Diceros bicornis minor: one gene and its partners. The protein of the gene in region 4 interacts with the protein of the main gene of each other region in a pairwise test. Links are inferred from orthologs where the notes say so. Each region holds a gene or a part of one and is shown on either strand. Other genes may lie near its edges.

Region 1 (8,391 bases), on a different chromosome or scaffold from region 4:
AGGATGACGGCCTTTGGGAGAAACAAACAAGAGACTTGGGAGAGGGGGAGAGGAACATGTTGCCCCTTTAAATCATAACCACCAAAGTCTGGAATCAGACGTGCGACTGGAAATTTCTCTGAGCCTCAGATTCCTTATCTGTAAAATAATGCCTACATCGCATCATGGTTTCCCACATGTGAAGTGTCTGGCAGACAGAGGGCAACAACAAATGTTAATCCCCTTCCCAGTTTATTTCCCTCCACTACCCTCCTCCCCTAAACCTAAGGTTAGGGAAGGAGCCAGAGAACAGACACTTGCTATTTTCCTACTGTAGATTCAGAGCACACTGTACATGGATATCTCCACATACAGAATACCCCCATTCCAGGTCAAACGGATTTGGGGAGGCTGGTCCTATCTAGTTTTCGCGTCATTATAGCTCGAGCTATATGTGTGTCCTGGTGCTACAGCCCTCATAGCAACACCTCGTCACACATCTCCCAGCCTTTTCTTTCTTGCCTTTCAGAGGCCCTGTCTCAGTGGCTCTGTTTTCTGGCCACAAGACTTTTTATTTATTTCACAGTTCTTGCCCAACTGCCCACCAACCAAGTTCTCACATTGGCAACTGGCATCACCTGAAAAGCTGTTTTCTCATTCGTTCCCGAGATGGGCAGGTTTTCCAGGGCCAAACCTCACTGCTGGAGGTCTGGGGCTTTTTTGCATAATAAAGGACCCCCTGGGTGGCTGAATGGTCCCAGAGGCTGGTGCCAAAGCAGCCAGTACCCCAAGTTCCAGTCTGACTCGGCTCACGGTGCCGGGCTGCCTTGCGGATGCCTCTAGTGGGCATCTTTCAGGATGAGGTGCAAGTGCCCATTCGCAGGATATTGTGTGTAGGGGTGGGGGTGGGTTTGGGGGTGAGTGGGTGGCTTCTCTGGGCTTCTAAGGGGCAGAGAGATTGGGATGCCACTGGGCTTATGATTCTGTGCCTTCCGGCCACCCCCAGCTTCTGAAAGTGGCACAGCTCCCCATGTTCCCCTTTGAGAAGAAAACACCAAGGACAAAACAGTGGGTGGGGGCGTAATGCTGCTCTGGTGAGTGTCTCCCACCCACTAGCCTCCCCACTGTCCTCCTCCCACTCAGCCACCCCTCTACTGTAACAAAGGCACATCACAGCACATTTTCAAAGTTATCAAAAGTCTCTTGGTCAATCAACAAACGACTCAAAAGGAGGAAAAGAGACATCTCGAAAACAGTGGGAAAGATTCCCTGGGAAAAGGACAGAAAACCTTGCCTGCTGCATGTAAGGCTAAGAATTGTTTTCTCCCTGCTGGCTGCTTTTCTCTCTGTTCTAAAGAGAAGCTTCCAAGAATCAGCTAAATAAAGGGATCACACCAGAGGATGAGAGATAATGCTAAACCAACAAAAACAAAGACCCAAATGAAACAGAGCGAGCCATGAGAATCCGCGGTTATCAAAACTTTGTTTGGTCGTATCTATTTATCATCGCTGCACACTCGGGCTCTGCGGAATATCATTCTGTTGATGTCACTTATCCTCAGCAAAATATTTACACATCCTTAAAAACGCCAGATGAGGGGGGCCGGCCGGCGCACTGCCACAAGCCGTCCCTCAAGCCCCATCACCGAGTTGTGGGCAGACGGTGAGGTGAGGGTACGACGGAGGGTGGCTCCAGCGGGCACAGGTAAGAGCCACCGACAGTTCTGGGAACGCGGCCACCCGGGCGCTGTGACCTGCTCTGCCCACCTCTCTCCTACCTGACTCTGCAAGAAGCAGCCACATCCCCGATATGGTGTCAGCGCCTCCTCCTCCTCCCCCTGCCTTTCTCATTGATTAAGTTCTCAAACCATTGTTAAAGCCGGGTTGCTTTTCCCTGGAAAACTGGGCTGAATTCATTAAGCTTTCCCCTGCCACAAAAGGAATATTCATAAAAGTTTGGCAGGCAGAAAGGGAGGCTGATTGCGTGCCATGGGGTGGATGACAATTCGCTCCTCCAAAGCCACCTTCTTCCTCCGTGCCCTATCCCTCTCTCCGTCGTGCCCCAAACCTCCTCCAGGGACTTCTGATAGGGAAGCACAAAGCAGCAGCTGTTTGGCAACATTTCTACCCCTCGCCGGCAACTGTGGTGGGATGCCATTTCCCCACCCAGGCGGAGCTTATCCTGAACAATAGTCGGGCTTTAAACAGCAAACAAGCAAACACACAGAGCACAACCCCAACCCCGAAAAAGCCAACGCGGAGACAAGCAAGAACTCTCTCCGCAGCAAAAGGCACGGCTGAAACGCACGCAAAAATGCAGCGAGAACGCTGCTCGGTGCCTAACATGGCAGAAAGCCCGAGCTGGTGCGGCCACCCCGGGGCTGGGCATTGGGGGGCACGCGGGCTCCCGGGGCGCCGACGCACACTCACCCGGCTCCGGGATGATGCGGGGCTGGCCGAGCGTCACAAAGACGAGCCCAGTGCGATCTGGCAAAACCCAACTTTCCACCCGGCTCGCCAGGGCTGCCAGATACGTCAACAGAATCCATCTTTCGAAGGGCCTGGAAGGCGCCGGGTTTTCCGGGCCGGGGCAGAGCGGCAGAGCCGGAGGCGGCTCGGTGCGGTGCCCGGGCGCGGAGTCCGCCGCGCGCCGCCCTCTGCGCCTGGTGCCAGCGCCGGTTGCGGCCCGAAACCCACTTCGGGGCCCCCGCCCCGCTGGCCGGCGCCGCCTCCCCGGCCGTCCCCGGCCCTGCCGGCCAGTGCGCGGCGCCGGGAGCAGGAGTGGGGCCCGGGGACGCCGCACGGGTGGCGGCCTCGGCCCGCGTCCCCGCCCCCGCCCGGCCCTCCCCGCTGGCCCCGGCCTCCGGGCGCCGTCCTGCCCCCGGGAGCAGGCCCCTCCCCGGGCGCCGGGCCCCGCCAGGCGCGCCCAGCCCGGCGCGCCCCCTGCGTCCCGGTGGCAGGTCCGCGCGGGGAGGGCGGGGGGGGACCCCGGCCCGCACGGGGGCGCCGCGGCCGCTACCTCGCAATCGCGGTCGCCGCCTCCAGGAAGCCGCGGGGTGGTCGCGGGTGCGGGAACTCTCCGGTCTGGCCTCGCCGCCGGCCGCCTGAAGGGGGTGCGCAGCGGTGGGAGCCGCCGTCGCCGCTGTCACTGAGCCGCTGTCGCCGCCGCCGCTGCCGGTTGTGCGTGAGCGTGTGTGCGCCTGTGTCCGGACGAGTGTGTGTCTGCGTGCGGCGCCCGGCCTTTACTATATACACCAAGGGGTGGGAGGAGGCGGGGAAGGGGAGGGCTTGGGGGAGGTGGCGGAGGAGGGGGAGCAGGAGGGGGGCGAAAGGGTACCCGAGGAGGCGGTGGCTGAGGAGGGACAGGTGATCTCGCCCACGGGGAGGGCGTGGCTGTGGGCGGCGCGGGGTGGCAGGAAGAAGGGGCGCCCGGGACGCGGGAGGCGGGGGGGGGGGGGCTCTGGGGAGGGCCAGCGGAACGGGGACCCTGCTGCCTCCTGACGGACTGGGGACCATGCCTTACCCCAGGATGAAGAGGGGAGAGAACAGAGCCCAGGAGGGAGGAAGTGGCTGGCTGATGGAGGCGGGAGAGGTGGCAAGGGCCCACCGATCACCTCCTAAAATGCCAATTGTGACACAGGTCGAAGATCCTTCTCACAAGGTGTGAGATTATTAAACATAAAATTAGTCCACGGACATCATCTCATTTCCACATACTTGCCCGAGAGGTGATTTATTTATTAATGTGACTTACATTTATTAAGCACCGCGTGTTTGCCGGACACTGGGCTAAGAATTGGAGTTACAGAGATGATGAATATACGGTTGCAAACCAGTAAATAAATAATAGGTATCAGTAGTACCATTGATCATTTTAAAGTAAAATAAAAAAGCTAAATCCTATAAGTGTTTTAAGAGAGCAAAGGAAGCAACTACATTGGTTTAATTAATCCCTAAAGATGTAAAGATTTTCTTTTTTTGGTAATCAAAACAGGATGAAGATATCTGACAGAGAACCGCAGAGCAGAAATTACTTTAATCAGAGCAGAGAGCAGTCTGAATCGAACCATCCTTTGCATCTTCAAACCTCCAGTCCCCACACTGTGAGTAGTAACCATGACTCCCCTCTTGTAGAAGTTGGGGTGGCCCCACAGAGTGTGAAATACATAGAGAGCAGCCTGGCAAGTTTATAATTAGTATGGGAACCTGAACTTGTGTTTGAAAAGTTCTGTTCTAACCTTGTTGTGTTGCAAACACAATGTGGTAGAAACTAGGGCCACATTATGACTTGCGTGGGCACTTTGCTTTTGCGGACTCCTTCCTCTATAAAAAAATAGTAAAAATTACATTTTACAATTGCATTGGTGTAAAGACCAATATATTACTATTATACGTTAGAACATTTTCTTTGACCTAAAAAATCACTTTTTCTTCTGATTTTAAAAGAAATTAAAACATTTCTGTGGGCCCCTACAAGTATTATGGGCCCCAGGCACAGGGCCTACTGCCATAATGGAGAAGTCAGCCCTGGTGGTACCATTCCCTGAGACTGAATTTCCTCTTTTGAAAAATAAGAGTTAAATTTAGAAGTACTCAATTGATACAGAGGCAGAAAGACACCCAGTGCAAGTTTAAAAATTGATAATAATGAATATCAACAGAAAGTTCCAGTTCCTACTTGTTTCAATCAGGCTCTTGGGGTTTTAAATCAGCTCCGAGTAATTAATGTTACCTGTGGAAATATTTGTCTGCGAATGTGTCTTCAACCATTTCAGTAACCCAAGACTTCCTCTATAGATCCCATAACTGTTCTGAGTCCTTGGATCAGGTATGTGAGGTCTCAGTTGCCAGGACCTAGCCTGACTACAACTAAAGACACAGCTGGGCAATTATAATTGGGCAAGTTCATGGATGAAAGATCCATAAAGGTTTTGTGTGTGTTGAGGGGGTATGTGTGTATAAGGTAGGGATTGATATCCTGGAAGGCAATTACTAGCCTATTTCTTTTGTTGGCCTCATCACAACCCTGGGTTAATGTTTGATCCTCGCTGGCAGTTGTGATTCATATTTTCTGCCCTTTGAGGTGCTTATGTTTTCAGGAAAGACTATATTGATTCAGATTAATGCATAATAAACAGGCATCATGGCCCCCATTCCCAAAGAAATGTACTGTGGCACCCCTCTGTACTTTCATCATGGCTGCTGTTGCAGAGAGAAGGGAAAAATAAGAGTCCATAAAGAAAGGGTCTGGATTGGGGGGGAGGAGATGTTTTAGGACAGAAATAGGACATTAATATGGAAGAACTGTGTTCATCCAGTTAAAGGAATGCCTGAGAAAACGAGAGGAAGAAAGGACATGTGCAAACAGTAGGAAAGAACCAAAACAATCTTCCAGGGTTGCTCAGGGTGATTTTTGAGATCTGTAATTCTAATATTTGATGACTTGAAATAAGGACTCAGGAAATTTCCCATCTCAGATCTGATTCTTTTATCTATATCCTGCTTCTATAATACAGCATCTCCTCATAATCTAGTTTTCACATACTTGCCAGATGGATGATTCGTTCATTTGTCCAATGAACATCTATTAAGCACCTGCTGTATGCCAGTCACTGAGCTAAGGACTGTCATTAGAGAGGTGGTTAACACATGGTTGCTGACCCCAAGGAGCTCACAGGCTGGTAAATAAACTGTTAATAATACAATGTGACACTATGTGGTACATGAGGAGTTATAAATTGGGCTGGGTGAACACTGAACGAGTGGGCCTAGCCCTGTACTGGGAACGGGTAGGAAATGGCATGGAGGAGGGCAGTCAGAAAAGATTGCATAGAGATGATGACAAGAGGTAAGCATTGAGAGATGAATACGAGTTTTTCAAAGTAAGGGAAAGGCATTACAAGTGAGGGGAACAGCAGGCACCAAAGCTGAGATGCAAAGAATGTTCTGGAGGCTGCAAATATTTTGTGAGGCTGGAGTAGAGGTTGTGAAGAATAGTGGGGTGGGGGGGAGCAAGCTAGGGGTCAGTTGAGGTCCCTGGTCTGTCCTGTAAAGGAGCTTTTTCTTGGAGTCAATGGAGAGCCATTGAACGACTTTGAGCAAGGAAGTGACCAGGGAAGATTTGGATTGAGGAATGGATCACTCTGGTGGTGGGTGTGAAGGGCTGATTGGAGGGGGGTGAGATTGGCAGCAGGGAGACCAGGTGAGAGACACTGTTGCTATGATTGGAGTTTGAGTCAGGGTGGTGCCAGCAGAGATAAAGGGTAGGAACTTGAGTCAAGTGGTACTCAGGACATAGAATCAACAGGACTTAGTGATGGAGGAAACAGGAGTAGGGTGACTTATGCCTGGCTTTATGAATCGGGTGACAGGGATGCAAAGGGATAAATGCTGAACAAAAATGCAAGGGGTGATTAAAGCACAGAGGATTGAAATCAAACCCAGGCTTGGGGAAAGAGGATGGAAAGCATTCAGAGAAATAGTCCAGTGAGAATGATATTTTTACCTGAGGAATATTCAGAGCCCACAGGGTAAGGAAAAGGTTTTGACCATTTTAATAGAACAGAAACTTCTAATGTAGTCTGCATAGTGGTTTCAGTATTCTTTATTTGGAGATGTCATATGAACTGTATTATGCCCAGATTTTATCCAAAGGGCACAATAGAGTTCATATGAAATCTTTGCCAATTTAGCAGACTGAATCAAAGGATACGTGAGTTTGTCCTTCAGTTAGGCAATCAACAAGCATATCCCGAACAGCTATTACTTTACAGTAGTGAGCTGCATGCTAGAACACATAGAGTAATAAAGTACCATCCCTGCCCTGCACTGAAGTCTCTCCTAGTCCAGGTGTAGCTCTGTCTAGTCTCACAATCAGGAAAGCATTTGATTTCAGAGGATTCTGAGAAACTGTCAAGAGAAAGAAGCAGGCTCATCATAAAGGGCTGTGTTTGTGGCTGCTCCATGCTGCATTCCCCATTCCTCTTTCCTAATAGATCCCTAATGTTCAGGCATCCATCCCTCTCCTATGAAACCATGTGCCTTAGAATTTGATCCTGGCTTTAGGATGGGCTCTGTTTGATCTGAGGCAAGTTGCATCCCTCCTGCTGTAATTTGGACCAAATAGATGAGAGGAGAGGTATGCTAGAGGCTTTATGGGTGAGTTATTACTCTTCCAGGAGATCATCCCTCCTTCTCCCAGTGGACATAAAGATAATGTAACCTCATTTGCAACTGGCAGCAAAAACACGATGGAGGTAACCACATAATTGATCATCTAAACTGGGACACTACTGAAGGTAAAAGGTGTGCTATTACTAATCATGTTAGGGCAAAAGGCATAAACTGGATCCTCCTCAAAAACCAGGATGGATGGTTACTGTGATGCTAGGAGCCAGGCCTAGGAGGGAGCTGATGCTCAAGGCAGAACAACAAATACAGAGAAAGAACCTAGAACTCTGAGGATGTTATTGAACTGCTAGAACAACCCACCCCGGCTGGAGCCACCTGAACTTGCACTTCCTGTTACAGAAATTATTACACCGCTTAATAGGTTAAGCTTCTTTGAGTCAGGTCTCCATTGGTTGCAGTTGAAAGCATCCTAAGACATACAGGTTTGTTTTTATTTTACTACAATAAAATACTACATTTATTTTACTACAATAAAATACTACGTCTGACAGATTGGGTAAGGGCCGTTCTGGAGTGCAGAGATCTAACGAAAACAGGTGGCGGGCAGAAGCAGGTGAGGAACGGATATTTTGATGTGACTTGAAGGACGAGTGAAGGAAATCACCTAAACTAGACTGTGTTGGAAGCGCGCGGTTCCGCTGAATCTGGAAGGCCAGCTGTGCACGGGGCGCTCTGCATTCCAGCAGCGCCGTGGAGGCACGCTCCTGCTCCCACAAACGGCTGAGACTCCTGTGCGCAGCGTCGGGAGAGTCTGTTTCTATCTCCTGCTGGCTCACTGCTCTGTCTGAGTGGCTTTGAACCCGCTCTGCCTTCTCCCTGGACTCAGATCCTTTGTAGCAGCAGGAGTCCGTTCCCCCTTGTGCCTTGTCTTTCTGACGTGACTGTCAGCATCAAGGGGGGACCCGTGGCTCACACATCCCACAGCATCTACGTCAGTTCTCTTTGTGTTGGGCCTTCAGTACGGAATGGTTACATTCATGATTATCTCCCCTCACGTTTGTGCTTCGGTCTCTTACTCCCAGGGAGCGCCAATACCCTTTATCTTGTACAAGTCTCACAACTATCAAACGCACCTTCCTTTTCCGTGTGGAGGGAGGATGTGGACAGAGTGGGTTTGGGGTTGGAGCCACATGACTGTCACCTGAGGCTATCAGGGTTTGTCCAAATCAACGGAGAGCCCTGTGCAAGCCAAGTGTGAAGCCAGGTAGCATGAGACAGAGG
Region 2 (7,673 bases), on a different chromosome or scaffold from region 4:
GCAGCAGTCCTGCTGCATGGCTATGAGAGGAAGAAGGGAGAGCTGAGAGAAGACCCACCAGAGATATGCTTACTGGACCTAAGAGTATGGGAGGGATTAGTGGGAGGGGGAATTAGAGGATGGGAAGGCAGAGGGGGTGAGTGGGGGAGATGACCAGCATGGATGGGAGTTTGGTTATGTTGAGCAAATAAGTATTGAATAAACAAATGAATAAATCAGTAAATATATTGAAGACAATGAGAACCAGGTATCTCACTGTTGTAGAGGTACTTATAAAATTTGCAAAAGGGAAAACTAGAGAGAACCCTGAGATTTTGGATTGGGATTAGAGATATCAGTGTGAACTCATGGTTTCAGATAGGTAGATAGATTGGAACGTTTAGGAGTGACAGAAAATTATGTTTACAGTTTTCTCTTGAATAATTCAGAAAATACTAATTATAATGTATGTATATATATGTATACACACACAAGTATACCACATATATGTATCTACACACACGTATATAATATATATGTGTGTATACATATATATAGATAGATAGAAAGGAGAAAGAGAGATTAGATAAACAGAAAGAGCACACGTGCGCTGAAATGTTAACAACTGGGGAAGCTGAGAAAGAAGGAGAGAGGGAAATGGTAGTTCTTTGTATTACATCAACAACTTTTCTGTAAATTTAAAAATATTTCAAAGTAAATTATTTTTAAAAATTGAAAAAGATGACCTCGGGACAAAGGATTCCTTGAGATGTTCAAGCAGAAGCTGAGTGGCTCTCTCACAGGGATATTGCAGAGAATTCTTGCACTGGTTGGGAGGTTTGATTGGACAATCCATCATTTCGAACTTAGAGAATATGATTTATGAATCATAGATTGGTGACAGTACAATGGAGTGAAATTTGAGCCACATTTCCAGAAATTTAAAGGAATATTAAGATGTTAAAGAGATGTTATATGAGTACTGAATATTTTGTGAAGTCTCTTTTCCCCATCCATCCGTCCATCCATCCATCCAATTATTGAAGGCATATGCAAGGGACTGTTTTAGACACTAGGTGTACACATATAAATAAAATACACCTCCTCTGCCATCAGCTTACTGGAGTGAAAGCACATAAAATGCAGTGATTTATTAAGCAAACGTTGAATGATCTCACTAGTTTTGCTGGTATAATTTGGAAATTCTTTTACTAGACATATTTTACTTTTTTTTTACCCCTAGAGATGACTTCGTTTGAAGTGATTAGTCTGAAATAGTCTGGCTCATATAGACAGACCTTCTCTCTATAGCATGTGACATGTGCGAGGCAGTATGCTGTGTGTGACCCTAATCCCATCCCTAATTAACTTCAGGGTCTCTTCTGTGAAAGGAATTAAGAGGAGCTGTCTCACAAGTATATTTAATGAGAATAGAGCTTTTAAAGGTATGAAAGTCTCTTTTTAGGTTACTGTTCCAAATAATTTGGAACAAAAACACACGCAAAGGAAAAAAAATGAAAAGATATTTAGCTATTGTGTCTTGCTCTTCTTTTACATCTTACAGCATCCAATTGTGCTAGGCAGGTAGCAGGGTCTCACCTGTCAAATGTTGATAGGACTGAAGACTTTATAAGCTATTTCTGAAATTAACATTTAGGTTCAATTATTTAAGATACATTTTTCTACAGTGAAAGGAACTTGTCATATTAAAATAGGATGTGCCGTAATTTTCTATAAGCTACTTTGTTTGCAGTATGTAGATTTACACTAAATATAATTTAACCTGTTCTCTTTTCAGAACATTTTCCTCTTATCACTCAAAATATATGGAGCAAACTGACAGAGGAAAAAATGCCTGAAGTTAATCCGTGGTCAAATGAAAGAATTAACTTTTAAGTCCTTATTAATGAGAACATTTACTTGTATGTTTGTAAAGTTTGGAATTGAATACATTTTTACCTTTATAAAAACACTGTAAAATGCTAAGAAACATAATAAAATTGAACTTGTAACCCCTTGCTATTATTTTTGTGCATATTCCCAGGTTTATTTTTTTACAGTGAGGGTAGTGATGGTGCTCAAATTTATACAGAGACACTTTGGCTCTCACTAATGAATAATTATTTTCCTGATGCTCTAGGGGCAAAGTAGAGGGTTAGAAGGAACAGATTTGTGAAAATATTTAAGAGGTTTGCGGTAATATTTTATGGACAATTGTGGTATCTTTATTGTCTATTAAAAGAGCCTAAATCAGGGAGGAGAAATTCATGGCCATTGCTTTTTCCTCCCCAAGAGACAGGAAAATGTACATTCTGCTTGACCTGCTCTGACATAAGGTCCTCACAGAACAACTTCATTAAAGGATCTTACTAAGACAGAGTGTTCATCTCTGTCATTGGAAGGAAGAGTAATGGCCTGTTCCTGGGTAATCACATTATGATCTGAGTCATGTACAGACATAATAATTTGGTAGCCAAGGGGACTTGTGATGGATGTTTGCTGGTGTCACTACATGGGTAGGAAAACATTGATTGAATGATAGTCTCGGACATTCGGATTTATTATTTATGAATTGCAGGGTACAACAAGAATGCTAGTGTTCTTGTGTTGCATAACTTTGTTTTTGGAAAATTATCTCTCACAGTGTTAAGTTAAAAGCTGGAAGAGGGTTTGCTTATGTTAGAATAAGTAATATTAGACTATAACCCTGGTTGTAGAAAACATTTAGAGATGCCTAGATGGGCAATTAAGAATTTTGGCAAATTAGATTGTGGCTTATAACAGTCATTAGGCTTCTCAGGTCTGTCATTAAGCTATAGTCCCATTAGGACACTGAAAGAGGTTAACAGGATCCTTGAAAAAGTTGTTTTAAATGAATTCCTTTTAAAGGTATCTACATTCGTCTTATTTCTTTTTCATGAATTTATCAGAAATAATATTACATTTAGTGATCAATGGTAGAATTTGTTTAATTGCAACTGGACCAAATTTTCCATTTATCCTCTCAGAGGCCACTGATGAATAATACCATGTGTTTAATATCTGATTGCCTTTGAGGCGATTGATTTGAACTAGAAGAATGAGATCAAAACCCATTCAGTTGTGCATCCATGTTTTATTAATGATCTGTTTGTAGAGAAAAATCATGTAGAAATTTAAAAGCACAAAAAAGTAACACCAATGTTTATTATCAAATTACCTATGTTTAATAGTATTACCTTGATATAATGTGGTAAATCAATAATCTTAATTTGGTCTTCTTGTTCAATGTAGAGAATATATTTCTTCTACATCTACTCTTTCTCCTAAGGATTCAAATGGGCCTTGTATCCACAGGAAATTCCTCTGACCGTTGTATAATTTGATGAATTGTTGAGAACTCTGTAAATGCAGCGGTAATTTGTCTCTGCATTCTTGACTTGATTTAGCTTTATTCTTTTTCTCACAGGGCATTCTGAAATACTTATGATAGAGGACATTGGTAATCTGATGTGGGAGTCCTGTGAGGAAAAAAAAGAAATAATTATTAGCAAATTTACAAGCACTGACACAGTCTTCCAAATTCTGTTTCTACTAGTTATAAAAGAAGTGGAATAATGGATGAAATAATAGTATAAACTTAATGATTTTTAAAAATTCTGTTATTGTCTTCTCTCAATTCTTGCATATTTCATCATTGATCATTCGCCTGATCGTGGTAGTCTTTTTATACAAATACAGTGAACACCTGCTTTGATTTTAGAGGAATTAATCAAACAATGTTCAAGGTAAGTAGAGTTGGCCTTGACTGACCAGGTGTCTCATGTACTAGTGTTTCCCAGCAGGCACATTTTCGCTATAACATTACAGTGAATAGTCAGAAGTCAATTTTGGGTAAGTACCTTAAAACCGAATAGCTTTTGAATGAAGTATGTATGCAATAACATTGACCGTGAGTGTGTAATGGAGTAGAGGAATGGCATTTCAATTCACTTTGGTACAGATACTATCTAAATTTATCAAATTAACACATTAGTTTTATTCTCCTTAAAAGATGTCACTATAAATTTGAAGCTCGAATTCTTATAGGACTATTCATCAGGTTGTTTAAGTCACCAGTATTTTGTGCTTTCTGATGAGATACGATCCAAAACCCAATGAGGTAAGTGAATTTTTAGAACCAATTTTTTGTGCGAGCTTGTAATTTATTTAAGTGCCTAGAAATTTTCCGGGAGAAATGGATGCTCAAAAAATGTAAATTTTAATTGTTAAGATTGTTAACAATAATGAGAGGATAACTCCCAGATTCTACTATAAGGGAAAAAGTTATATCTTTCATAATATTGTGTATTATTGTAGTATAAACTAAGTACATACAGATAGGCCTAATGAATTGCCACTTGATGACGTAAAAGTACTAATAACATTTTGACTACTTGTATATCTACAAACTGATATTTTGGTCAGAAATCTTCTGAGATATCGAATATATTAGAAAATTATACACAGAAATTTATTTTGCATGTAAAACTTCTCTTACTCACTAGCTTTTACTGTTGTTGCACTGCCACTCACAACCTTATGTACTCATTTAATCCTTGATAAAACATTTGCTTGATAGCATACCTCTATATTTGCAGTTTACCAAAACATTGCTTTCTAAAATTGTTTTGGATTGCATTTTGAGGTCTTTTTCCTTTCCAAATTGTATATCTAAACAAAGAAAGTTTAACTACATATGTTAGAAAATAATTTGAAACATCTAGATAATGACTCCACAGATTAGTTTTGGAGAATATTTGACTGTTAGTAATCTTTATATATAAAAGTGATTCTCAGTGACTCTTAACCCTCTGAAGAAATAGACTTCATTTCTTTAAGGCTAACAATACATTATTCTGGAGGCTTTCTTCTTTACCCCCAATGAAGGGTTACTTCCTAGTAACTTATTAAACTAGGAGTTATTAAGGGTCACTAAAATGTATTATTTGTAAGGTAAAATCAGTGTTACTAAAATTTGTGAGGCCTTCAGAGTCAGTATTCCATCAAGTCTGTGGTAATATTGCAGAATGGTAAACTCATCCTGTTCAAGATGTAATCAGATGGTTGAATTTCCTGCAATTTTAGTGGAGAGCACTTTAATAGGGTGTCATTAGTATTGCTGTGAATTGGTTATAGTTTTCAATTGCCGCTTTCTTATATTTGTTAATTTGTTTGTCAAATTATTGTTCAATTTTTTTAAAAATTGCTTTCTTTTGTTATTATTGTACCATTTATATTTGATTGCCGTTTTGTTTCTTTATAATTTTTCTGAAGTTTTTTTTTCCCTCCCTTTGGAAAAGTACAAGGCGGGTTTTGGGGTATTTCACCCTACAGAAGTGGGATTTCATAAAGTGTGAGAATCCGTGCTGTAAAAAGTTAGCCAGATTACTCAATTGATTTAGAATATATTAACTGACTAATATTATAGGTCCAAGACCACACTGTAGTGTGTTCAGTTTTATTCCATTTTTCCTTTTGATCTATATTTTAGAATAGTCTGGACAGAGGATTCCCTTGATATCAAAGTTACAAGTATCCCATTTAAAACCATGGGAAAAGATAGGAAAAAGTGTCATATAGCTATTTAGAGATAGTATTGCTATCTATAATGTTCCAGAATTATAATTTATCCTTGATTTTAAGAAACCGCAATATATTTTGGACTAGTTCTTGAAGTCATATAAACAATACCATTAGCACATGGCCTATTTCTCCCAGTAGATGATGCTTATTCTGAAAATTGGCATTAGAATCTTCTTGTGGTAGTTTGTCCTAACAAGACAGAAAGTTCTAGCAGGTAAAAAGTTTTCTGTTGAGCTTAATATGGTAAACTCTGATTATTTTGAAAACTAATAAATTTTGAATCAAACAATGCACAGATGTCAAAATGGATAAGATCTTATTGTGGAGTTTCCTATTGACTTTTTCTGGAAGTCAAGCCTCAAGACCCTGGGCTCAAAGAAATGCTGAATTTGCAGTGGATCTTTATCAAGCTATTTGTTTATCTCATAAGGACAACGTTATATTTTCCCCCCTTGGAACAACTTTGGTTCTTGAAATGATACAACTGGGAGCAAAAGGAAAAGCACAACAACAGATAAGACAAACTTTAAAATTTCAGGAAACCTCAACTGGTGAGATTCTTACATATGACTTTCTATACTGGATAAGATCTGGTCAAATTTATTTTTTAAATATTAGAGAGAAGCTTACGGTCATAGAACTTTAATAAATGAAAAATACTGTGGAAAGTATACAATTATAATAAAATGGAGAATTGTAAATGTAAATAATATTCATTCATTTATAATTGTTTCCTAATGAAAATGTTACCAAAATAATTTAAGAAATTAATTCCATGCAGATATAAAATTGTATGTCTGTGTATTTTCTTCTGGCCTGTTTTAGCGAGTTTTAATTAACTGTGATTATGTTGTGCATGCATGTGTGTGTGTATGCATATACATATTCACATATGTATACATATACACACATAAATGTGCTTCCACCATCACTTACTATGTTGTGATCATTGTCTCATATCATGCAACTGCTTCAAAATATAATCTTTATTTTTTGTGAGGAAGATCAGCCCTGAGCTAACATCCAACGCCAATCCTCCTCTTTTTTTGCTGAGGAAGATTGGCCCTGGGTTAATATCTGTGCCCATCTTCCTCTACTTTATATGGGATGCCGCCACAGCATGGCTTGACAAGTGGTGCGTCTGTGCGCACCCGGGATCCAAACCTGTGAAACCGGGGCCGCCGCAGTGGAGCACGCTCACTTAACAGCTGTGCCACCAGGCCAGCCCCCAAAATATAATTTTTAATTGCTGCATTTTATTGCCTCTTATAGAAATGCCATTATTTACTTAACCCTTCTTCATGAGGTTGTTTTCAACATTTCTCTTATAAAAATACTTCAGTAAGCACCCTCACCGAGAAATCTTTGTGTGCATCTCTCATATTTTGTTAGTCTTTTAAAATTAGTTTTCTAATTAAAATTTAAATTTTTCACTTAAATGAGATCAAGGAAAAGCATTAATTTATACATTTTAAAAGCTTACTTGGTTAATAGTTTTTAAAGATTTGGGGGAAAAAAAAGCAATTACATAACGCATCAGAGGCCTTTTTGCGTGTGGCTGGTTGTTTTGGAGTCTCCCAAAGGCCTGAGATACTATGTAGAAGCTTCAGTGCTGGTGTCCCATTCGAAGGGGTGTTTGCCCATCTACCTAGCTATACTGGTTCTCAATTTCCATAATGACTTTAATATTAAACTTTTATGTTACTGTCAGATAATGGGTACGAAACATCAGAGGAGACATGCAGATTTTTGATTTAGCGATTTAGTTCGCTATAACTATATAATATCTATCTAATTTATCTATCTATATATCTAATAGATATATTAGATATAATATATATATCTAATAGATATATTAGATATAATATATATATCTAATAGATATATTAGATATAATATATCTAATAGATATATTAGATATAATATATCTATTAGATATATATATATATAACTATCTAATTTCAATATGTTTGCCTTAGCACAGAGTAGTTACATTTAGGAAAATCTTTCTCTGAAAAAACTATTCACAAAGTTTTATTTGCTTTCTTTTAAATAAAGTCGCTTTTATATAGAAAAGGAGTTGATGATGG
Region 3 (7,717 bases), on a different chromosome or scaffold from region 4:
TGCTGAGGGTGTCCCCATGGTAGGGCAATTCCAGGATGTCGTAGTAATGGCCATCAGGGGTGGAAAACTCAGCTGTGAAGATCCAAAGATGGTGCATTGCGAATGGCTCCCAGCTCTTGTTGATTCTAACCCAGCACTGGGTTTTCAACTAGTCCCGTCCCCTCCACTCTTTCTGGAAGCCAGCTGTTCATCCTGGCTTTTGAGGCTCCCCCATCCACCACTCCTCTATTCAATGTTTTTATTCCCATTTCTTTTCTCTTCTGCCAATTCACAATGTCTTCTTGTTTCTCTGTCTCTTTCTGTCCTTCTTTACCTTCTCTCCCCTCTCCCCCACTCCCAGCCACTAATTCATTCCAATCCTCATCTCCTTAATCTCAACTTCCACACAGCCCTTCCCCTAGCAGGGTTTGTGGACCCCAGGTCATCATACTAGAAACACCTGAGGATGAGAGACAGGGGTCAGGTGGTCAAATGTGAGCCTGAGGGAATTTCTGGATTTCAGCTTCATCTTTCATGGGCTGCATGCAACTTTATGCTGCTCCAGCTGTCCCAGAGTCTCCTACTTGGGAAGTTCTGTCAAAGCTGGGGTGTGTTCTAGGGTTTCCCTCCCTGAGAGGGGAACATCCTGGGGTTGAGGTGCAGTAGTTGTGAGTCTTGGGGAAGGGGTCTTGCACTTACCGTAGTTGAACTTGTTGGTCTGAGCCATCATGGACACAGAGACGGTGCTGCCGTCGGACTTGTGGAAAAGGCCGTGGTGGGTGCCCGACTCTGGGAAGGGCGTCTTCCACTGGCCGTTGAAGTAGAGGGCATTCACCAGCACCAGGCGCGTCAGCTGGTCCACGGCCCCTTCGCCAAGTAAGTCACTGATCATGCCTATGGGAAAGCCAGGTGATCAGGAGGCTAGATACTTTTTAATCCCCTAGATGGTTCCCTTCAGCTCCCAGTCCTCAAATGGATGTGTGTCTGTTGAAGGGATCCAGTTGGAAGACAGACTAGTGGTTGCGTGAACCAATCGATCTGCTTTCAACCTGTTCCATCTTCCTAAGAGTCTCAGAAAGCCTTCCAGCTCAGCATACTTTCTTGGCCCTGGAATCTTGTCCAGGATCAGACCCAGAAACTTCAATCTTCTGTTCCTTTGTTCTCTAAACTGTAAGTCTTGAAGGATTGTGTGTGCTCCTTGTCATAGTTACTACTGTTATAAAACCTCACAACACTTTTTAGGGGTGTCTTTAGAGTTGGCTCATGAGAAGGCCTGATTATGAAAAACATGACAGTTGGATTCTTAAAGCACTTGACCTTCTGTCTGCAGAAAAGAGAATGCTGAAGGGGAGAGCCTGGGATTCATAGAATTTGTGTTTACGTCCCCTTTCTCGGCAGGCCCTTGGGATGGGCCTGCTTTCCCTGCCTGCTCACCTTTTGTGTGTTTCTTCACCCAGTCATTGACGATGAACCTGGCTCTCTCCACCTCTGAAAAGTCCACCTGCTTGACTGTGGTCTGGAACAGCCTGAAGAAGTGGGGCATGAAGCCCTGGACCAGCTTCAGATCCCGCTGGACGAAGATGGCGTCGGCGGTGCTGATCTCGTCCTTGTTCCATGGGCCCATGAGTTCCTTGTACAGTTGGCGGAGGGCAGGGGCCATGCCCTTCTCTGTGCCAAAACGGGGAGGAAAAGACACATTAAGCTCGTGTTGAGCCAAGGGCTCCCAGCCGGGATAACTTCCCCCATGAGAGGCCCAACCCTCCCACATGGATGGGACTCTTCTGCTCCCTCAGGGGTTTCTGGAGGGAGATTTCATTCCAAACCTTAATCTCTTCTGCTTTTCCCTCTTTTCCTCAAAACTCTCAGGTCCTAACCCTTTCTTTGGATTAGAATATTTTTCTCTGTTTATAAGTTATGAATCCTAAACTTTTTCTTATAGTAATAATAGGTATGCTAAGGATTTCACATGCATAAATCTATTTAATCCTTCCAGCAGCCCTTGTGGTAGGTACTTTGATTGTCCCCACTTTGTAGCTGAGGAGACTGAGGTTCAGAGGAGCTAAGGTTACACAGTTAATAAGTGGTGAGGCAAGGCTGTGTTACACCACATCCATTGGCCTGTATACCTTGTGACTGGTCAGGAGCCCAGTGACATGGGGTGTGGTGGGGAGGAGATGTAGCGGTCTCTAAGGCATGGTGGTACAGGAGTTGGCTTGGCTAAGCTGGAGTCAGCCTTTCCCCTGCCTCTGGTTGGTTACACCCCTGTCCTGTAAGTCTGACCGCCTCCCACTCTGCCCTGTCTCTCACCTTCAAGCTTGAATTGCATTGCTGCTTGGATCTGCTGCCGGGTTTCTCCTCCCGTTGTCAGCTGCAACATAGCCAGCACCGAGGCCACCCCATAGGGCGAGAAGACCACATTGCGGTCCTTGGAGGCCTGCACCACCTGCTGAAACACCTTCACTCCGAAGTCTGTGGCCAGTTGGGCTACCTGGGACTGGCGGTTGTACGAGGCAGACCCCTCACCAAAGATGAGGGTTAGGCCCAGGGCTAGGCAGGCAAAGACTGGAGACATCCCCATCCTGGAGCAAGTGAAAAAGGAACTCGTGAGGGAATAGTTCTGGAAGACTGGTGAGTGGGGAGGGGAGATGGCACCCCAGCCACGGGCCAGGCTCCCCTGCTGCTGGCGGGTGATAAATGAACTCGAGGACAAGATTCAGTAAGAAACCACGATGGGTTCAGATTCTGAGCCTTTTCCCCTCTGTCTCAGCCCCAGGGCATCTTAAGCCCGTTGTCACCTGTGGGAATCTTGGAAACTGCTGGCACCACCCTCCTGTACATCTCCCTTCCCCTCCAGGAGGCTGAAAGGCTAAATTATAATAACATCTCTGGTTTGCATGATGCTTAAATTCTCTTATAATGCTTTCACAACTGTTGTTTCATTCAAGTTAGCAGGCCTGAAAAACCCCTTTCCTGAGGCGGGAAAGGGGGGAGCATCTTGATGGAGAGGGACGGGACGGTCGAGGCCCTTGTTTCTGGTGGCGGGGTTGTTGGTGGGGCCTGACCTCCTTCCCGGCTCCCCTCTGATCATTCCTAAGGCCGAGACAACTCGAGGCTGCAGGTCTCCAGTAGGGGTGGGGAAACAGAGGAAAAGTGGGGATCTAGGGTGGAGGAGATGCTGGGGAGAGGTGCTCTCCACCTTAACCTGAGCCAAGAGGTGGAGAGAGTTTGCTCTTCTCTTACCTGAAGTTCTCAAGGTGCCTTGTGACTGGAGGTCTGTCCTGCTGCTGGGACGATTGTGGCGATCTGGCTGCTGGAGGAGTAGCTGTGGCTCCCGACAGTGCTCTGGGGCCTGCAGCCAGGAGCAGCTGTGCTCCTCAGGAGGCTGCAGCCTCCTTTTATACCAGATGTGAGCAGGAAATAGATGAACTCATGGTTCAGCCCCACCCACTTTCTGGCTCTAGAAGTCTGAACAGCCGGCCGGGCCCCTCAGCACCTCCCTCCCTCCGCAGACTTGCTGTGGCGTGTGTGTGCGTGCTGCTCTGTGTGTACGTGTGAGAGGGCTCAGGGACAATTGGGCAAACCCCCATTGTCTTCACCCAGGGGCCTTCCCTGATTTCACCGCCCTCTGCCTGTGTCCCTCTCTGTTATGCCAGCTTGACCCCCGGCAGCACCAGACGGCCAAAAATGCCCAATGTCTGGAATTACCTTCCCCAGTGCTCAGCTTGGGGAAGAACGGTTCACATTTTCTCCTTTTCCTTTGAGGAAACAGATCACCACAGAGTTATCAAAGACACGAACGATCTTGTGGACTTTTTTCCGCCAGCGCCGTCTATCCTGTGTGACAGCCACCCTGGGAAGAACACCCCTCCCTCCTCTTGGCCATGTCCCAGCAGCCAGAGGACAGGGAGCGTGCCATGTGGGTGTCTGGGTTAGACTGTCTAGGACATGATCCTGGCAGAGGACTCCCTTCCGTCTTTCCCTCTTCCCTGCCGAGTGCCTGCCAGTCCTCAGGTGATGCAGGGCTGACTCCCCGACGTGTCCAGACTCTTGAGGTGCCCCCAGGCCTCTGTTTTATGTCAACAGCCCTGTCTGGCTGGGGTTTGAGGTGTGCTGCCTGGGGTGGTGGAGGCTGAAAGGGACTGGGGTTAGCAGGGCAAAGCTTTGGCAAGCAATCGGAGGCCCATGTGTAAGTTGCATTTTTTTGAGCTGCAAGCTGTGATGGGGAGAACTATGCCTTATCCTTTTCCTCCGGACACAGGTACTTGGAGGGCTGGAGCAGAGGGAGTAGGGATAGAAGTGAGGGCCTCAGTTCGTGGCGGGTTTGTGGGATATGCTTCTAGGGCATTGGTTAGGGGGGAAGAATGACCCAAGAATTCTATAGAGGGTGGAAATCAGCTAGAGGTGAGTGCGTAGGACCAGTCTAGTGCATTTCGGGGCTTGGTGAGCTCGGGCACCCTTGGCCATGAGGCCAGGATGTTGTGGACCGAGGGGTGACTGGGGTGGTGCCAGAGGAGTCCTGCAGTGGTGGAGGGGGGGAGATGGTGCACTTGACCTGGGGGTCCACACACTGTCACGCTCTGTGTCGGTGGGGGGGGCTAGGCTGGGAGTATCCATGGAGACAGCCGAGGGCAGAGTCACAGGATGTTTAAGTGGGTGGAAGTGTCGGGATATTTGTTTTGGATATTTTCAGTAAACAGATACCAAGGGCAACCACAGCTGGATGGCTGTCCCGATTTTACTCTGCCTCTGCCTTTGTTTTCTCGGTTGCCCCTGGGAGTCAGGTGGGGATGCGGGGTGGCAGGGAAAGAGGGGGAGACCTGGGTTGGAAAGTTAAGATCACCGACCCTTACGGGGGTAAGTCACTGTTCCCATGTGACTCTTCTTGTTTATGTCCTTTTCCCTTTCCTAGTTGTGGTTTGGAGTCCCTGAGAATGTTAGCTGTGGGGAGGAGGCGCTGACCCTGACCTGTCTCAGGCGGACAGGACCGAGTGCAGCCCCCAACCATCTCCTACGCCCAGAAATCCCCCAGTGCCTTGCCCGCCACCCTTGGGAGTCAGAAGGGGATAGGGACCTGGGAGTCCAGGTTGGGAGAGCCCAGCCCCGAGTTGAAAAAGCAGCGGGTGGAGATGCGGCCAGAATCGACTCCCTCGAGGCGCCCTGCTGCGGACCTCTCCAGCCACTTCAGCGGAGCCTCCTTCCCTTCCTCCATGGCTATTCCAGGAGCCGCTGTCCCTCTCCTTGCCAGGCCTCAGCTGTAAAAGCCTCTGCTGTTTTCTCTGGATGTCCTGGGCCCTGCCAGGGCGGTGACCAATTCCATCCCCGCTCCTGGACCTCATGGATGATCCTGAGGCCGTTCCAGAAAGGACGCTCAGTTCCCGGGCACGGGAGGGCTCTGTGTCCTGTTGGGGAGAGGGAGGTGTGCTTTACTTTGGAAACAGAAGGGCTGACTTACTAAGGGGTCTTTTCCCAAACTGGAGGGGACCTGTAGGCATCTGGTGGGTGTGTATTAGACACTGAGGCACAGCCTAGTGTAACTGGGGCCTTCACTGGGGTTTCTGACTCTCCCTCTGACTTTCTGATGAGCTGGGGCCACTAGATGATCAAAACTCAGACTTGACTGCGGCCCCTGCCCCTCCTTTCCGTGAAATGGCCTTGCCTCTACCTTGTCTGCCCTCTGGAGACCTCCCACACACCAGGGTGCAGGCCGATGGCCTGCTGCCCTCCAGCAGACCTCCTGTAACACCCTTCTCAGAAGCTGGCCTGACTCAGGGGCTGTCACTTTCCCTCCTTCCCCTGAACCCCAAACTAACAGCCTTGACCCAATCACCTCTTTCAAGCCTGGGCTCTTTTGTAAGGGGTCAAATGGACAGAAAGAGAAAAGTCCCTGGTGTTGAAATAGCTGGATCTCTGATTCTGGGAGCGTCAGAGATAAGAGGATGAGTTACAGGGCTGTGGATTTCTGGGGGAAGTTCCAGTTGGAGCCAACTGGGAAAGATGTTTCCATCTGCCCCTCCGCAGGTGGTTCGTGACTAGACCAGACTCACGCTTTCCGTGACTGTCCCCCACCCCTGCCTGCAGCCCCGTAACCCTGGTTCCTTTTGGGTCTCGGCGTGGCCTCCAGCCCTTCACTTCCTGCCCTCCAGCTGCCCTCTTGCCCTCTGCTCTTCCTCCTTGCTTCTCCGTTGCTCTCCAGCAACAGCCACCGCTCTCTGTTTCACTCTCCCTTTCTCTGCGACTCCCTCCTCTGGATCTCTTCTGTGCAGCCCTCGGTCTCCGGGTCATCTCACACTCCTTCCCTGCCGCTCCCTAGTCGTGGCCACGTGAGCTCTTTCCCTGTTTTCTCATTCTCTCTCTTTTCCGCTCTCTATGACTCAATCCCTCTTTCCCTCTCCTCTCTTCTTCCAGAAACCCTTTTACAGTCAAATGCTCTGCTCCAAGGCTTCCTGTGGGAAGAGAGTGCCGCCTGCTATCAGTTACACAGGCTCCTGGAATGTTGGAGCAGGCCTCTTGATTCTGGGTGATTTCACTGGGAGAGCCGGGGGTGGGAGAAGGACAGGGTCCTGCTCACTCACAGCACTATTTCTGGCCTGGTTACTCTCCAAACAACACAACACCAAAAATAGCCTGTATTTGGGCTGGACGGGCTCTGTCCCTCTTAAGAGTGAGCTGGGGAGAGTGTTCTGAGTCGTAGCCTCCTCTTGTTTAAGATCATGGCTCTGGGACAGCCTGCGCAGGGTCCTTCCTCACATGGCGCCATCCTGACTTCCCCCTCCTCTGCCTCCGTAACCCCTCTCTTCTGCCTTCTCCAGCCCTCGCCAGCCACCTCTCCTTCAACTCCTATAACACTAAAACCTGCATCCCCCGACGTAGCCCGCTTGTCCACAGTGGCTTTTTTCTGCAATTATATCATAGAGTTTCAGAGCAGAAAGGCTCTAAGAACCATTTAATCCAGTCCTTTGAATTTGCAGGTGAGGGCCCTGAGGTCCAGAGAGGCTACGTGATGTGTCTAAGGACACACGGTGACATACCATAAATGGGAGAACAGTGCTCATTAGAGCAGACAGACCAGCCTGGTCAGGGGTCTGACACGTAGATGGTTATGTGTCTTTAGGCAAAACGTAACCTTCGTGAGCCCCAGTGTTATTTTTAGATAGGAATTTACAGATAGGTAGATGATGGTTTCCATCCTTCAGGGTTGTTGTGAGGATTAAATGAAATATTGTCTGTAAATGTCTGGCATATTCTAGGCTCTCACTAAATGGCAGCCACTCTTGGTTGGGGCAAAGCCAGGAGAGGAACCCAGACAGTCCCAGAATGGACCCCACCGACATTCGATATGTGTCTTGATCCCTCCAGCATACCAGGAAGCAGGGGGTTTGTTTTACTTGACCTGCTCTTCAGTCTCAGCCCTCTTGACCCATTCTCGGCCACTCACCTCTCCTAGCTCTTGTTGATTCCCCTATAAAACCTCATCACACTTGAACCACTTTTATGCACATCCCTTGTCTTAGTCATTTCTGTACTTATGCTTAAACTTAGTGGGCCATCCAGCACCATGTCTCATTTACCCTTATTTCCCAGGGGGAGATAAGGGGATGGTATCCCCTCGGGAGGCCTTTCATAATGTCAGAGTTCAATGAGCACCGAAGACCCGCATGGCACCCAGGCAAGAATGAGCCTCCTCTATTGGAGGAAAGAGGCAGAGGGAGCGAATGTGGCCCAGTGTGGCCACAAAGGG
Region 4 (8,021 bases):
CGAGAGTGAGCAGGAGCCACAATAGTCAAAACACGAAGCAGATGTCAGTAGATGACAACAATTAGGAGGAGTGGGTGACATAATCTGACGACAAGGCTTAAAGCTGATAATACACACAGCTTCACCACGATGGTAAAGCTGGGACTAGAACTTAGGCTCCTTTCCTAGGGCTTTTTTAAACGTCTAGAAGGTGGGCAGACATCTCCACACGATTTCATAGTCAATTAAATTAGACTCACAGAGTCAAAAATAGGGGTTGGTCAAAAACAATAGGCACCATTGCTGACTGCCATATATAACAAACAGCTGAAGGCACATATTTTTGGCTGAATTGGTATTCTAAAAATCCTAAAAATAGGACATAACATCTTGGTTTTTCAAAAACTCTCAATTTTCTTTTTAGCCCTGAAAAGTATTAGACTGCCTTTGGTTAGAAAAGAAACATCTTTTATTAAATGATTGCATTTATCTGTTTGCTATAGAGCAACTATAACCAACATTTTCCTTAGATAACCAGTCACCTTTATCTTCACGTAGTCTAACCATCAAGGAGGACAAAAGACCTTAATATTAAATGGACTGATTGCAATGTTCTCCAACTGTGTGTCACCTGCTCCTCTCCCTGCCACCTGGAACGACATCATCTCACCAGACTGCAAGCAGATTTAGAGCAAATGCCCAATTTTCATCCCCACTCCCTAAAAAGCATATTCACAAGGGAAGTGCTTGTTGAAATTAATAGATGTGTCCCCCTTATAGGAGAAACAGCTTCAAGATGGGAACTGTACTGTTATTCATTAAATTCCCCCCAAATGCACTGTCCCATTGCAATAATTAAGTCTTTAGGCCACAAGGAAGCTAGGCTCATTGAACCTCCACAAGCCCATCTGCAGAATTCTATCTTGTTATGGTTATACTGAATTTAAATTTTATAATGCATAAACATGAGGCAGAAAAGATGGTGTCAAGGAAACACACGATGTGATCGTCCAAGTCCTGCTCAACTCTACAGATTATCGGGTCTAACATTTAAAGCATGCATAAAACAAGGGTGAAATCCTCTCATTTCAAGTCCCCCAATAGGAAGTTGTCAGAGCTTAATAGTGATATAATTATTAGACTTTTACATAGTGCTTTTATAATGACTAAGGTATTTTTATATATTGATTCTAAACTGGATGCTTTCCTATTGGAATAAGAGACAACAACACCTTCAGAGTAAGAACCAGGATTTAAATCTCAGCTTCGCCACATATTAGCTGTGTTATGTTACTTTATCTAGTTTCATTTTCTTATCTATTAAATGGGGATAATTCTAACTTAACAGTCATTGTGAAGAAAAAATTCCCTACAATATGAACAGCATAGTTCTGACACATAATAGTTGCTCAATAAATGAACAATAGCCCTCTTATCTTGTTAATTAAAACAAACAAAACAAGCCTCAGAGAATGGAAACACGATAATCTTACAGGTAGGTCTCTCTTTTTGAAAGATCAACAAAATCTTCTGATTTTATTATAATAGACCATAAAGTCAGGTTTATAGCTATTTTAGTCTTTATAACACAAATGAACATAAAGAACAGGTGCCTACCTTCCAAACTTTCTTGTTCATCCGAAGTGTAAGCATCCATCTGACTTTGTTCTCGTAAGAAACGAATAACTGCATAAACTAGGTGCTTGATAGATGACATTTTAAAAGCTTAAACACTTTTCCTTGATAAGAAAAAGGAAAACACTGAATTAAGTTATTTTAAAGCATCAGTCAGGAAGGTTATAAATAACAAGTTATAAATTACATTAAAAGGAAAAAGCAAAAACAAAAACCTGTATTACCTTCACTCCATTCTCTTTTTAAAGAGTCCGGAGAGCACCAAGTATTGTTATGGTAATGTATGACATATTTTCATTTATACCCAGTAGTATTAGATTACGTTACAACTTGCAAAAGTAAAAATTTTCTCAAAACATGTACAAAACAACATAAGCTTAAACTCTCCGACTATCTCACTCTATCTTAACAGTATATATAGTACAAATACAGATAAGGATAGGGATCGAGGTACAGATGCAGAAATCCCCAAAAGGCCTCAGTACTAAGTTAAGGGAGACTTCATACTGCTGACTCAGAAGCGGATCCACGCTGAATACCTTCCTCTATTTCATGAGATTTTTAAAAAAATGTATGCATAATTTACACTCCACCTACTTTTGCAGGCTGAGACAGTTATTTGATGAAATATATTAATGAAAGGTTGTTCAACCACTGAGTGTCATTCTTAATAAAAATGGCATTTCTATTAAATCAACAGACACGTCAGGAAATCACTGCCTAAGTCGATGGATACTACAAACCGACCAGCGCTCTCTGCAGTAGCCGTGCTCTCGTGGAGGAGCTGGAAGCGCCGGGTCCTGTTCATTCACATGGAATACTATCGCATCCAAACAGTGGCGCAGGGCCAGCCGGCATTAATGGCTTATTCCCACTACATCGCATCATCCATCTGCTCCTCAGGTTCCCTAAATCAAAGCCAGGGTGTGGTACCCGCCGCTGGGATGTTTATTATTTGTTTGCTTATTTTAAAGGCGAGCCCAGCCCCTAGGCCATGGGGTAGCAAGTACTAAATAAGGCCTCAGGGCAGAAGGTGAAAAAAGAATGGGGGGAAAAGGCGTGCGGAGAGGACATGGAGATGTCCAACCTCCTCCAGGCTTCTCCCTCCCCTTCTCCCCAGAGAGCACCGACCTCCTTGTCCCTCCTTTTGGTGCCCGGGCCTCGCCTCGGCCCTGACGGGTATTGTTGCGGGTGCACGGTGCAGGCCCCGTCTGGGGCGGCGGGAGACGCACCCTTTCCAGACAGAAGCCCCTTACCAGACAGGAGGACGCGAGACGGTGGCAGCGGGCCCGCGGGCGTCCGTAAGCCGGTCCAACCGCCCACTGGTCCTCAGGGCTGGAGCCTGGCTCCCGATCGCAGCACTGCCACGGTCACCCAAACTTGCCCGGCTCCCTGGCCGCCGCCGCCGCCCCTCAGCCCACCCGGCTGTGCGCTTGGCTCGCGGCGCCTGGGTCTCGCCGGCACCGCCCCCGGGGCGGCGCCAGCCGCGCGGGCCGGGGCGGGGCTGAAGGGGGCGCCGGCGTGGGGCTGCCGCACGTGGGAGGGCGCGGGCAGGCCGCCGCTGTCGCCTCCTCCGCCAGGCCGCCTCGCGGCGCCCGGGCGCCGCGCCCCCCCCACCCGCGAAGCGAGGGCGACGCGCCCGCCGCCGCCGCCGCCGCCTCTCTGCGCTCCCATGATCGCCCGGTGCCTCTCGGCTGTGCGAGGCCTCCACAGGTACCCCCGTGCGCGGGTTAACCTTGGCCGGGGGCACGGCGGGGTCTTCTGCCCGGTACTGCCAGTCGCCCGGCCCAGCTTTCCCGACCGCGCCCCGGCGCCGCTCCTGGGACCCGCCCTCCCCGCGGCCCGCATGGCCTGCCCTGAGGGACACCTGGCGCGGGGACTTGGGGCCGCCTCTCCCTCCTCCGCTCCCTCGGGAGAGCATCCGTTCCCCTTTGTTTGGCGCTGCCTCAGCTGCAGTCAGCGAGACGGGTCACAGGCCCGACCCAAAAGGAATGCAGAAAGATGGTCCAGATAAGAAAATCATTCGACTTTCGCCCCCATCCAGAGCTGCAGACTTGTCGTTAAAAGTGCCGCAGCTGTAGACTCGGGAGTAACAATTCTCATTTGCCCCTCACGCACATCATTAGCGTACAAATCGTGTAACATCCACACAAGGTGAAACCGCTATGGGTTTCCCGCTTATTTCCGTCCGTGCTTTCTAACTTCCTTTTTATTTACCTCCTCCGCATAAAACATTCGGCCTCTTGCCGGGGCAAATTAACTTGGCCCAAAATGGAGGAAATTACTGCTTGGACACGGCTTTGGGAGGCTCAGCTGCTGTTGTGGATTGCTTCCTGGCTCCCTAACCACACCCTTCTGCAACAGACCAGTAGCAAGATGGGGAGAGAATTAAATTCTTTGCACGGATGCCCTGGAAGGAGTGGTTTTCAGAAACAGTACCGCCACCACCCCCATTCCCAAATCTAACCTTGAATTGTAAATCCGAATGAAGCTCCAAAAGAAAAAAGGAAATGTGTGTTTCTTGCTAGACACTTATGAAACCACTTTGGAATGTATCAGCGTTTAAGCTTTCTAACAGTTTTCTATTGTGCATTGCCGCGCATCTGTGTGGGGCTTTGTGTTGCTCAATCGTTATGGTTATGGTGCATCTGGGGACAATAGTAATTATAAGGAGTTAATGTGATGATTTTGACCATGTTTGAGGCTGTCCTTTTAGTCTGCAGGCTGCAAGTGGTGTAGCTGTCAAATGAAGCTATACCAATGAAGGAAGATCTTCACATAAAGCAGATGTGAGAAGAGAAAATAAATTTCATATGACAGCAATTCTCAAACTTTTTAGTCTCAAGATCCCTTTACCTCTCAAAAATTACTGAGGACCTAAGACCTTCTGTTATGGGGGTTATTCTCTCCATATTTACCATATTAGAAATGAAAACTAGGAAATTTTTTAAGTATTAGTTTATTTTAAAAACAGTAATAAGCTCATTACATGCATAAATAACATTTTAATGAAATAACTATTTTCCAAACTCCTCCAAAAAAATTAGTGAGAAGACTGGCAATGTATTTTTTTCCAGCTTTTTTTTATTGTGGTAAAATATACATATAAAATTTACCATTTTAATCATTTTTAAGTGCACAGTTTAGTGGCATTAAGTACATTCACATTATCCATCTGCAGAACTTGAAATTTCGTCACCCCAAACTGAAACTCTGTACACATTAAAAAATAACTCCTCGGGCTGCCTGGGTAGCATAGTGGATAAGTTTGCGAGCTCCGCTTCAGGGGCCTGGGGTTCACAGGTTCAGATACCGGGCACGGACCTGCCCACCACTCGTCAAGCTGTGCTGTGGCGGTGTCCCATATACAAAATAGAGGAAGATTGGCACAGATGCTAGCTCAGGGCCAATCTTCCTCACAAAAAAAAGTAATAATAATAATAACTCCTCATTATCCCCTCTCCCAGTCCCTGGTAACCACTATTTCTTCTGTCTCTATGAATTTGACTATTTTAGGTACCTCATACAAGTAGAATCATGCAATATTTGTTCTTTTGTGACTGGCTTATTTCACTTAGCATAGTGTTTTTAAGATTTATCCATGTTGTAGCATGTGTTAGAATTTCCGTCCTTTTTAGGGCTGAATAATATTCCATTGTATGGATATACTGCATTTTGTTTGTCCATTTATTCATCCATGGATATTTGGATTGTTTCCACCTTTTGGCTCTTTTGAATAGTGCTACCATGATCATTAGTGTGCACCTATCTGTTTGAGTATCTGCTTTCAATTTTGGGGGATATATACCTAGAAGTAGAATTGCTGGATCATATGGTAATTCAATATTTAATTTTTTGAGGAACCACCATACTGTTTTCCACAGCAGCTGTAACATTTTACATTCCCATCAGCAGTGCACAAGGATTCCAATTTCTCCACATCTTTACCAACACTTGTTTTCTGTTTTTGGTTTTTTATAAGAACTCCTAGGAGTGACATTGTTTTGCACTTTTGCACAACAAATGTGTGACCTCATATAAGATAGCTGGATTCTTACGTCTGCTTCTGCATTTAATCTGTTGCAGTGTTTTGTTTTGATTTAAGATGAAGAAAATCTCACCTCTCACTCATATGTAGTTGGAAAAGGAGGAGTATTTCAACAGCTTGTGTGTGTGTGTGTGTGTGTGTGAGGAAGATTGGCCCTGAGCTAACATCTGTTGCCAATCTTCCTCTTTTTTTTGTTTTTTTTTTTTTGTGTGAGATCAGCCCTGTGCTAACATCCACCAATCCTCCTCTTTTTTTGCTGAGGAAGACGGCCCTGGGCTAACATCTGTGCCCATCTTCCTCCACTTTATATGGGACGCCGCCACAGCATGGCTTGCCAAGCAGTGCGTCGGTGCGCGCCCGGGATCCGAACCAGCGAACCCCGGGCCGCCGCAGCGGAGCGCACGCACTTAACCGCTTGCGCCACCAGGCCGGCCCCTCTTCCTCTTTTTTTTTTTGCTTGAGGAAGATTGTCCCTGAGCTAACATCTGTGCCAAACTGCCTCCCTTTTGTATATAAGACACCGCCATAGCATGGCTTGATGAGCAGTATGTAGGTCCGTGCCCAGGATCCAAACCCGTGAACCCCGGGCCACCGAAGCAGAGTGCACTAACTGAACCACTACACCACTGGGCCGGCCCCTTTAAGAGCTTTTTTTTTTTAAGGTAATCATGGATATTCTTTGATAGCGCATGAAAGTTTGACATGTGTTTCTTTTTTAAAGGTTAGTTGCAGTGTGGAATGTGAAAGTATCAATGTACTTTTCTTGCTTTGTTACATTTAAATTCATGGGTTTGTCTTACACTTTGAATGGATCTTTTACCCATGCGTGATCTTGTAATATTAAACAATGGTCATTTGGAAAATCCTGGTTCACTGTGTTATACAGATCTTCCTAATTTTGACACATTTCATTATACAATATCAAACAATCATATTCCTTAATATCATCATCCATCTCATCATAAAAGTCTTCAAGTATTAGGAAGCTGGCAAGCTCAAGATAGAAGCCACAGTTTTTCAAAATTTGAATTGTCATTTGAAAGCTGAAATTTTATCTTTGGTAACAGATACTACCAGTTGTTTTTCTTGAAATGACATGCTCATTTTGTAGCATTTTTGAGAGAGTTTCTGCCAAATAGTTGAGTCTGAATAACCATAGTTTTTCAGTCGTTTTTTTCAAGTACAAATGATGTTTCATGAAAAAAGGAGCTATTTCAGCTCACAGTTCAGTCAGTTGCACAAGTGCTTTTGATTTGGACAACCAGATCCTCCGGACAACCATTGTACTCAGAAGTGCAGCACAAGTGCGTTATGGACACTTTGCTACGTATATATATTCAGTGATTGAGATTTAATAAAATTAATAATTTTTACTGTATCATCAAGGACATCCTAAAGTGGAATTGACATTATTTTCATCATGAGGGTGTGGCAATGAAGAATATACTGACTGCTAGGACGATTTGCTGCTACTACCTTTGTTTGTTCTAAGGTGCCAACAATTTTATCTACCATTGCTTTTCACCATCAGTGCAAATGTCAACCAAGGGAAAGGGTAAATAATGTCTTAGTATTATTATGAAATACTTTTAACCTCACAGACTTCTTGAAATGGTCTCAAGGACCCCTCCCCATACTACCACCCCCAAGGATTGCAGACCACATTTTGAGAATCACTGATATGTGTTATTCAGATTCTTTGTTTATGCATTGAAGAAAATAAATGTGTAAAGCCATATAATTATTACCTTGCTAGAAGCTGGCAGTCTACCATAAATATATCAACTATTTTGTTACTTAAGGGCATATATTATGGTAAATCAACATATACAGTAGTAGTAGTCATTAACCTGGGGCACTTGTGAGTGACTTAGTCACAGAATCTTTGTTTCAAAATCTGTATCCTCCAAAAGAAGTCAATACTAGACAACATGGAAGGCACTCTGTGCTCTCTTCACGTATTTTTCCCATTTTCTCTGATACTTGAGAGTTCATTTTACTGTTATTAAAGTAACCAGGTTTTTGTCTAACTGACTTAGGATTTGTCTTGGGTTTTCCTGTTGACAGAGCTGCTATACCCGCTTTCCAAAGGCAGCTTGGCAGCCAGGATCATTGATGGGGGGGCATTATGCCAATTTCTTCGGAATAAGTGGACCTGGAGTCTGGAGATTGGATTGTAGTTGCTGTTCAACTAACCTTGTGACCTTAAGTAAATCACTTGATCTCTGTCAAGTTCCTTATTTTGTAAAATGAAAAGGACTAGACTAAGTGATAGCTAAGATTTCTTTCAACTCTTGTTGCCATAGCGGTTAAACCAGGAGAATTTCCCTTCTTACCTCAGCCAGATTGCACAGCATGT

What was found.
Region 1: the proteins of SGTB (region 4) and RAI2 interact in binary tests that used the Homo sapiens proteins (3 or more experiments, as listed by UniProt). The link is inferred for Diceros bicornis minor from reciprocal best matches to the Homo sapiens genes SGTB and RAI2.
Region 2: the proteins of SGTB (region 4) and SERPINI2 interact in binary tests that used the Homo sapiens proteins (3 or more experiments, as listed by UniProt). The two-hybrid records come from large-scale screens. The link is inferred for Diceros bicornis minor from reciprocal best matches to the Homo sapiens genes SGTB and SERPINI2.
Region 3: the proteins of SGTB (region 4) and SERPINE1 interact in binary tests that used the Homo sapiens proteins (3 or more experiments, as listed by UniProt). The two-hybrid records come from large-scale screens. The link is inferred for Diceros bicornis minor from reciprocal best matches to the Homo sapiens genes SGTB and SERPINE1.

The regions. Positions count from the first base shown.
Region 1 is NC_080781.1:14,749,741-14,758,131, forward strand, and holds the start of RAI2 (retinoic acid-induced protein 2), read right to left. Parts: upstream 3,108-8,391; 5' UTR 2,999-3,107; intron 1-2,998.
Region 2 is NC_080754.1:54,092,875-54,100,547, forward strand, and holds the start of SERPINI2 (serpin I2), read left to right. Parts: upstream 1-4,423; 5' UTR 4,424-4,437; intron 4,438-5,877; 5' UTR 5,878-5,887; coding exon 5,888-6,134; intron 6,135-7,673.
Region 3 is NC_080765.1:4,808,046-4,815,762, forward strand, and holds the start of SERPINE1 (plasminogen activator inhibitor 1), read right to left. Parts: upstream 3,404-7,717; 5' UTR 3,220-3,403; intron 2,559-3,219; 5' UTR 2,558-2,558; coding exon 2,287-2,557; intron 1,648-2,286; coding exon 1,414-1,647; intron 874-1,413; coding exon 679-873; intron 73-678; coding exon 1-72. UniProt on the Homo sapiens protein: Serine protease inhibitor. Inhibits TMPRSS7. Is a primary inhibitor of tissue-type plasminogen activator (PLAT) and urokinase-type plasminogen activator (PLAU).
Region 4 is NC_080759.1:11,268,662-11,276,682, reverse strand, and holds the start of SGTB (small glutamine-rich tetratricopeptide repeat-containing protein beta), read right to left. Parts: upstream 3,037-8,021; 5' UTR 2,746-3,036; intron 2,681-2,745; exon of another isoform or gene 2,362-2,680; intron 1,719-2,361; 5' UTR 1,697-1,718; coding exon 1,597-1,696; intron 1-1,596. Other genes in the region: NLN (neurolysin, mitochondrial), read left to right, coding at 3,461-3,618. UniProt on the Homo sapiens protein: Co-chaperone that binds directly to HSC70 and HSP70 and regulates their ATPase activity.